Linked DNA regions of Ovis aries. Each later gene encodes a partner of the first gene's protein in a complex. Links are inferred from orthologs where the notes say so. Each region holds a gene or a part of one and is shown on either strand. Other genes may lie near its edges.

Region 1 (3,905 bases):
GTTATTTTACTTGCATACCTGAACACATCTTTTTAATAGCTTTATTTAAAATATAATTTATGTACCATAAAGTTCTCCCATTTAAAGTGTATAAGTCCATGTTGCTAGTGTATTTACTCAGCTGTACAACCATCACCATAATGTAATTTTTGAACATTTCCATCACCATCCCCTCCAAAATCATCTCCATTCTCCTGCCTCCCCTAGTCCCCAGCACTAGGTAATCATTAATCTACTCTCTGTCCCTAAGGTTTGCCTATTAGTGGACATTTTATGCAAAGGAAATAATAGGATGTGCATCTTCTGTGACTGGCTTCTTTCACTTAGCATAACAATACACTTCCAGGCTGTCTGGCTTCAACATTCTGCCTCTGAGGATAAAATGTTACTTTGCATTTCTTGATGAGTTTGAGGATTGAATATAACTTGCATTAAGGCAAAAATTAGAAACTAGTTAGAGCAAGAGGGCTTTTCTCAACTACATAAGCCAATCCATTTCACCAAAGTTAAAATACCAGATTGTGCAAGCTCAAGCTGCAGAAAAACGTGTGTCCATGGGTCCTTAGATTGACGTTGTCCAGGAGAATTGGCGGGGGAGGGGGCAAACAGAAAACAAAACAGACACTGCAAGTTACAAACAGAAGCCATCAAAAGAAGCTGGGTATTGCCCAAATGTAGTTTAACAACTTAACTTCCCTTTCTTAGAAAACAGATGATTACAGAGTATTTCACATAAAGCCATAAAAACCTTTGTTTGGTGTTTGTATAGGGGACCCAAGAGAGCCAGACCCCTTAGGAAAAGCAAATTGCCCTCCTAGAGAAAGTAAAATTTTTCCTTCTGCCCTTTCCCCTTCTTCTCCCTTGCAGAGTTGAACCGCATTTCAGTTTGCTCAAATATTTGAAAGTGAATTTAGTATCCTCCCCCCAACTTATGATTTTATAGCCAATAGGTGATGAGGTTTATTTGCATATTTCCAATCACATAAGCAGCCGTGGAGTGGAAACAGTGTCAGACTCATTTTCTCCTCCCCCACCTCCTCCTCCTCCGGGGAAACCTGCCGCTTCTAGCTCCCCACCCTCCCCTTTAAAGGGTGACTTGCTCCGCGCCAGACCGCTGCTCCAGCCTGCTGCCGCCTCGGGCTCAGCGGCTCTACTGCTCTGTCCGCGCTCGCGCCCGGTGCCCCGCATCTCCTACGGAGGGACATCCCCCGAGATGGAGAGCAAGGTCCTGCTTCTGCTGGCTCTGAGCGTGTGGCTGCAGAGTCTGACCGTCTCCCGCGGAGGGCTGGTCGCCGCCGACAGTAAGTTTTTTGCGCGCAGACTCCCCACTTGCAGAATAGGCTCAGTGGCCATTTGCACACGTTGTGAGGATGAGAAGGAAAGAAAGTAGGAAGGGGCTGCGATGAGCACCGGGGCCTCTCCTAGCCCGAGCGCTTGCCTCAGATAGGGTCGCGGGGGTGGGATCTGGAAGGAGCACGGAGGAGACTTTTCCTCCGATCTCTTTGGGGCGGCTCCCAACTCCCCTTTCTCTCTTTCGCGCGCAGTCCTCTCTACTCCAGCTGCGGCTGAGTTCCCTGGAGCCTGGGCTCTACAGGGAAATGAGCCGGGTAGGTCCGGTAGAGTGTGAGGGGCGGGGCCCGGAGGCGGGAGGAAGGGCTCTGCCCGCGGTGACCTGCTTTAACCTCTCCTCTTGCAGGGGCCCTGGAATGAAATGAAGGGGGCCAAGGTGACCCTGGCTTGGCCTTGGTCGCAGCTCAGCCCCAGCCAGTGAGAGCGCGAGTAAAAAGTGGCCCCTTCTGGAGAAGCCGGCCCGTAGTGGAGCGGGGGGAGGCACTGACCCCAACCCTGGACACTCTTGCTCTCCACGTGGAGGGACGTGGAGGAGAGGACGCGGGGCGCGAAGTCCTGGGCACGCGGGGTCCTGCACGCACTGGCGCGTCGGGGAAGCTGTCCATTTTCCACTCTTGTACCCTCGGCTTTACTTAGCTGCCAGCAAACCTGGTGAAGGGTTGACCACCGCTCCCCTCACCCCCACCCCCCGCCGTGAAAAACGTGGCAGAGCGACCAGCAATCTGACCGCTGACTTGGAGATTGCCAGGTTTGCGCTTGGCTACCCTTACTGTCCTCGGACTGTTCTCGGAGCTGAGCCCGACTCGGGCGCCCTGCCCCGCGGTGCGGTCCGAGCTCTTGGGGCTTCTTGGGCGCCACGGGGAGGCCACTGGCGGAACCCCAGTCACCGCTCACCAGGGATAAGGCGTCCAGGCCAGATGTGAGTTTATTGCAGGGAAGAAGAGCGCCCAGCCCGAGACCTGCCCACAATAGAGGCAGCCTGTGTAACTTGAGCCTTGGTTCAGCTAACACACAGCAGAACTAAAAAGGTAGCTGAAGCAAGTCATAAAAAGAGGCAACGTTTTCTTTTCTCTTTGGTGGAATTGCAGTTGGGGCGTGTCTCCTGGATGTGCTTTCAGGCGGCACGTCCTGCAGTGGCTCATTTTATAGTGAAGTTTGTCTCTGACTTTGCTACTAAGTTTGTCCCTGACTTTGCTATTTCAGCACAGAGTTGTGAAATAACATTTTTAATTTATTTAAGTCGGAGTAAAGTTGCTTTACCATGTTTTGTTAGTTTCTGATGTACATGAAATAGCATTTTTCATAGGTTAAAAAAAGGAAAGCTGATAAAAGTATCTTTTCTGTCAGATCAGTTTGAGAACACTGGAGGTTCAATTTGTTGTTGTTCAGTCGCTAAGTCGTGTCTGACTCTTTGCAACCCCACGGACTGCAGCACACCAGGCTTCCCTGTCCTTCACCATCTCCCGGAGTTTGCTTATACTAGTGTCCAGGGAGTTGGTGATGCCATCCAACCATCTCATCCTCTGTTGTCCCCTTCTCCTCCTGCCTTCAGTCTATCCCAGCATCAGGAGAAAGGAGACTCAGGAGACATGGGTTTGATCCCTGGGTCGGGAAAATTCCCTGGAGGAGGGCATGGCAACCCAGCCGGGTATTCTTGCCGGGAAAATCCCATGGATGGTGGAATCCAGCAGGCTAGGGCCCATGGGGTCCCACAGAGTCCTACAGAACTAGGGCGACTGACCAGACACACAGGCAAACATCTTACCAAGTAGCATGTGTGTTTTACACTATCTGAGAAAATGGTTGGAACAAAGTCCAAATTCTTGTTTCAGATAGTACATCACGGGATAATGTTACTTAGACCAGAAACACACACAAATAAGTGTCATTCACAGTTTTACAGTTTTTGTCAGACTCCCTGAGAGATTCAGGACCCTAAATTACTGGGCTAGTAAGTGTCACCTGTCTGGATTTTGCTTCTTCAGTCCTAAAATGAGGAATTTAGACCAGACTCAAAATCCTCTTAGACCCTTTAATTCCTTACTCTTCCATGCAAATAGACACAAGTGATTAAGGAATTAAATTGGATTTTAATCAATCTGTTTTTCCTAGCTATAAATGCTTTGTAAGGGAGGAATCATTTGGAAATGGACTTGAAATTAATCCCCCCCATCCTTCCTTCCCACTCTCACTCTAACCCCCATCCCCTCTTTACATAATGCCTCTTCTATCACAGCAACTCTCTGCTCTCTCCTCCAAACTAATTTAGGTAGGAATGTAAGACATTCAGAGTAGAAACGAACAAGTGTGAGGAGGGAATGGTAAGTACCACCACCTCTGGGCTCTGACTATACTTCTCTGTTTTCGATTTCTAAGAAAAATATGAGGATATGGGCACTGCCCTCAGGCTCTTTTTTTTTTTCTTGGAGCCACCACAATCTCTGCATGGCCTCATTAGGAAATTTGAAGAGCTCAGTAGCTACAAGTCTGTTTGACTGGCCATAGAGAATTTCTAGGCTAATATCTGAGTTAAACATGATGAGTGATGACAGCAA
Region 2 (3,627 bases), on another chromosome or scaffold:
CAAAACTATGGCCTGGCGGTGGGCAGCTTACCCTGATAGAGACGGCACAGTGACACAAGAGGACGCCCACTGCTGCCACGGCTGCCCCCGCCCAGACTAGACAGGCATACAGCCTCTAGCAAACCCAACTCATTATACCAACGTTAATAAAGTCTACAGGTGGTTTTGTGCTCCACTGGGTGGGCTGTTCTTAGCAAATCAAGGGTAAGGGCATGTGCAGAAATGAACTTGTTAGAGAACTCGCCACAGGCAAGCAGAGCCACCGCCTGTCACTCACCCACGATCGCACGGCCTCCTCCCGCATCGCTCCCTAACCCTAACGCCTGCGAACAACTCCGCATCAACACCCTGAAGCCAGTGCGGAAGGGGCTGGTTTCACCTCACAGAAACAGACGGCTCTTCCTCTGAGAGTGTTTATCAATCCTTTATCTTCCTGTACTTAAGCAGGAAGCAGCAGTTTGCAAATACGTGCTTGCTATCACAAGGACTCAGATGTCTGGTCTGGTCTCCCATTGACCTCCTCGGTGGAAGCTCTCTGTCTGACACAGGGCACGCCACCCCGGGGCAGGACGGCCTCAGGACGCCAGCGGGGACTGTGTTCCAGGGAGAGGAGGCAGCGGGGCGGAGGCCCTGAGGTGGGGCGGAGGGCAGCGGCCGCCGGCGGGCCCACGCAGTGCTGCTGGGAGAGGGAGGCCTAGCAGAAGGACCCCAGCTGTGTCTCACTCTGAAATGCTCTTAACAAGGCCCCGGGAGATGACGCAGCTGACTCGTGGTTGACGGTGCCACTCAGCGGTCTGCAGCTGGACTGGAGGGTCCATGAAGCCAGGCTCCCGTGGCTGCGGCCTGGACCTGGTCTCAGGGTCGAGACAAGGGGTAGGGGCTGGCCAGCCTGCACTGCAGGGCTGAGGCCGCAGGGCCAGGGCAGAACCGCTCAGGTGGACAGGACGCCCCACCGGCCGCCACAGTGACTTCCCCTCCCCCACCACTGGAGCCAGGGAGGGAAATGACCATCCCTGGCCCAGTGCCTGGCCTGGGGGCCAGCGTGAGGCCCATTGTTTGAGGCTGGAGCTGGCGGCCCGGGGCCTTGGGAAGCCCCCGGCAAGGCCCTTTGTCCCACTTCCCACAGATTCAGAGCCCCAGCGAGGCCCTGGTGAGCAGACGCGGCAGAGGTGGCAGCCCCGCAGGATGAAGGCGCTAGCGGCTGTCCTGCTGGCCCTGCTGTGGTGCAGGCAGCAAGGTGCGTGGGGCAAGGGGCGGCCCTGCAGCGAGAGGGATGCCCAGTCCAGGCTGCAGGCCCTCAGGGTCACCCAGCCCGGAGGCAAGACGTGGCTTGGGGAGGAGGACGGGGAGCACCTGCAGGCCGAGGCCAGAGGGAGGCGGGTGGGCCGTGCTGGGTCCCCACGGGCCCCCAAACCTCCAGCCCCTGCCCCAACCAGACGCCAGGGCGCGGGTGACCCTCCCCACCCAATCCCACCCAGTCTCAGCCTCTCAGGCTTCGGGGTACCTGCCATCTGGGGGCTGGAGTCGGGGGCTGTGAAAGGCCAGCGCCCAACCCCTAGTGTTGTTGGCAAGGATGCCGCCAGGTCGCACACCAGCCAGGAGGTGGGGCCGGGGCTCAGAGACCCAGGCAGCGACCTCACCAGCTTGGGAGGGTCAGGGAGGTCAGAGGGACTGGGAAGGGGATGCCAGACCGAGGGGAGGGGGCGCGGCACTGGGCTCCGAGCCTGTGTCCTCTGCGCCTGGGTAGTGGAGGTTTACAGGTGTCCCTGCGTGGCCAGGGAGAGGGCAGGCACAGGAGGACGAGGACGATGACCCGGACCCTGGGCGCGAAGGCTACGATGATGAGGAGGATGAGGAGGAAGAGGAGGCCGGCGCGCCTGCGGGCAGCAGGGGCTCAGGTACCTGCCCACCCCACCCCAGCATGGGGGCGCTCGACCCTCCTCCTCAGCACTCACATGGGTGCCTCGAAGCTGACAGTGAGGAGCCCACAGGCAGAGGCCTCCGCTGCGAGCGTCCATGCCCTCAGGGTGGGGGAAGGGGGAGGCAGGGCCCCTGGCACTCAGCACACCCTCAGTTCTCACCCTGGCAGTAGCCCCCAACTGCCATCCAGAGGAGGGGCTAGAGAAGGAGCCAGTCCTGGGAGGGGCAATGGTGCTGGGGCAGAGAGGTTAAATAGAAGTTCACCAAGCAGACAGGGGCACAGCAGAGCCCCAGGAAGGAGAGACCAGTGACCCAAAGGCCCTGGGTGTGGAGTCCAGTTCAGAAATACACAACTGTCCCAGTAAGGCAGGGCAGCGGGGGGCGAGGCGGGAGAGTAAGGGGGCCAGTCCTGAGGTGGGGGCACAGAGGGCTCCAGCACGGCAGGGTTTGAGGGGGTCAGCTGAGAGTGGGAGAGGCGGACCGGAATTGGGAAGAGACCTCCAAGGGGAAGAGGCTGGGAAGCAGCAGGCGTGGGTGAGCTGGGGGCGCTCCGGGGGCTGTGCCCCTTGCACAGCTGAGCCCACCTGGCCCCCCAGGGCCACAGTGCTACACGTGCCAGTCCCTGCACAAGGGGGAGAGCTGCGAGCAGGTGCAGAGCTGCGTGCTCCCCAGGACGTGCAAAGCCATCGTCTCCTCCTGGAACGCTGGTGAGGGGCCACCCGGGGGTGGCGGGACGGCGTCACCCAAGCCTGTGAGGGGCCCCATCCCTGCCGTGTCCCGTCCCGTGTGATCCACTCTCTCCCCTCACAGAGTCAGGTCCCCAGACCACCTACTCGGGGTGGTGTGCAGACACATGTCAAGCCATCAGCAGGACGGTGGAAGGATCCCTGACGACCATATCCTGTTGCCAGTCCAACCTGTGCAACACCCCACCCTGGCAAGATCCCCAGGGGAGGGGGGCAGGTGGCCCCCGGGGGAGCCCTGCGACTGTGGCCGCCACCGTCCTGCTCAGCCTCCTGGCCGGCCTTCAGGCCGTGGGGCTCTGAGTTGGGCGGTCCCTCCTCGCGCCCAGCATGGCTTGCACCCTGGCTGGCCAGCACTCTGTCCGCTGTCTCCTGTCCCCTCCCCCAGACCATGGAGAATAAACTGGATGCACCCGTGATGACCCCGCGGCACTGGTTCCTTGGCCACAGCGGCCCTTCCTCGGTTTCCCCTTCCAGCATCCTGGCCTCCTCTCCCTGCCTGTGCATGGCAGATGGCCAGCACGTGGGCCTTAGGTCCAGGCCTCAGCGGCTCACAGGTTGGGTCCACACAGCTCCCTGCCCCCAGCAGAGAAAACACTCACTGCATGCCAGTGGGGAGCCCACCCCAGGTTGCTCCCCAACTTCTTGCCAAAAAGAAACCTCCATCCATCCACGTGAGGGGTGGCCCTTGTAGAGAGGACACTTGGGGAGGAAGGTTTCCTTGGCCTAGAGGAGGAAAGGCCCCCACCCAGGGCGGCTTGGGGGTGAGTGGAATTAATGAGGGGCTGGAAGACAAAGAGAAAAGAGAGGGAGACAGGTGGTGTATGGCTCAGATGGGACTTTGCAGCCAACCACTCAGCTTGGGTGGGGGGGATGGGGCGGAAGAGGGGGCAGTCAGGGAGAAGCGGAGGGGCAGGGCAGGAGCCCCACGGCTTCCCCAGCCTTTGCTCCAGCTGGACGGGTG

The links.
Region 2: the proteins of LPL (region 1) and GPIHBP1 are in contact, whole or in part, in a crystal structure (PDB 6OAU), measured with the Homo sapiens proteins. The link is inferred for Ovis aries from reciprocal best matches to the Homo sapiens genes LPL and GPIHBP1. Residues at the interface, in NP_000228.1 of Homo sapiens: Tyr367, Gly368, Thr369, Ala371, Glu372, Glu374, Leu403, Met404, Lys406, Lys430, Lys440, Ile443, Cys445, Ser446, Arg447, Glu448, Val463, Lys464, Cys465, His466, Asp467, Ser469; in NP_835466.2 of Homo sapiens: Cys68, Lys69, Ser70, Leu92, Ala94, His95, Gly96, Asn97, Thr98, Glu99, Ser100, Leu103, Thr104, Thr105, Ser107, Trp109, Cys110, Thr111, Asp112, Ile117, Lys119, Val121, Glu122, Thr124, Val126, Met128.

The regions. Positions count from the first base shown.
Region 1 is NC_056055.1:45,939,256-45,943,160, reverse strand, and holds the start of LPL (lipoprotein lipase precursor), read left to right. Parts: upstream 1-1,051; 5' UTR 1,052-1,213; coding exon 1,214-1,301; intron 1,302-3,905. UniProt on the Homo sapiens protein: Key enzyme in triglyceride metabolism.
Region 2 is NC_056062.1:14,304,023-14,307,649, reverse strand, and holds GPIHBP1 (glycosylphosphatidylinositol-anchored high density lipoprotein-binding protein 1), read left to right. Parts: upstream 1-1,130; 5' UTR 1,131-1,185; coding exon 1,186-1,237; intron 1,238-1,778; coding exon 1,779-1,898; intron 1,899-2,516; coding exon 2,517-2,627; intron 2,628-2,730; coding exon 2,731-2,966; 3' UTR 2,967-3,085; downstream 3,086-3,627.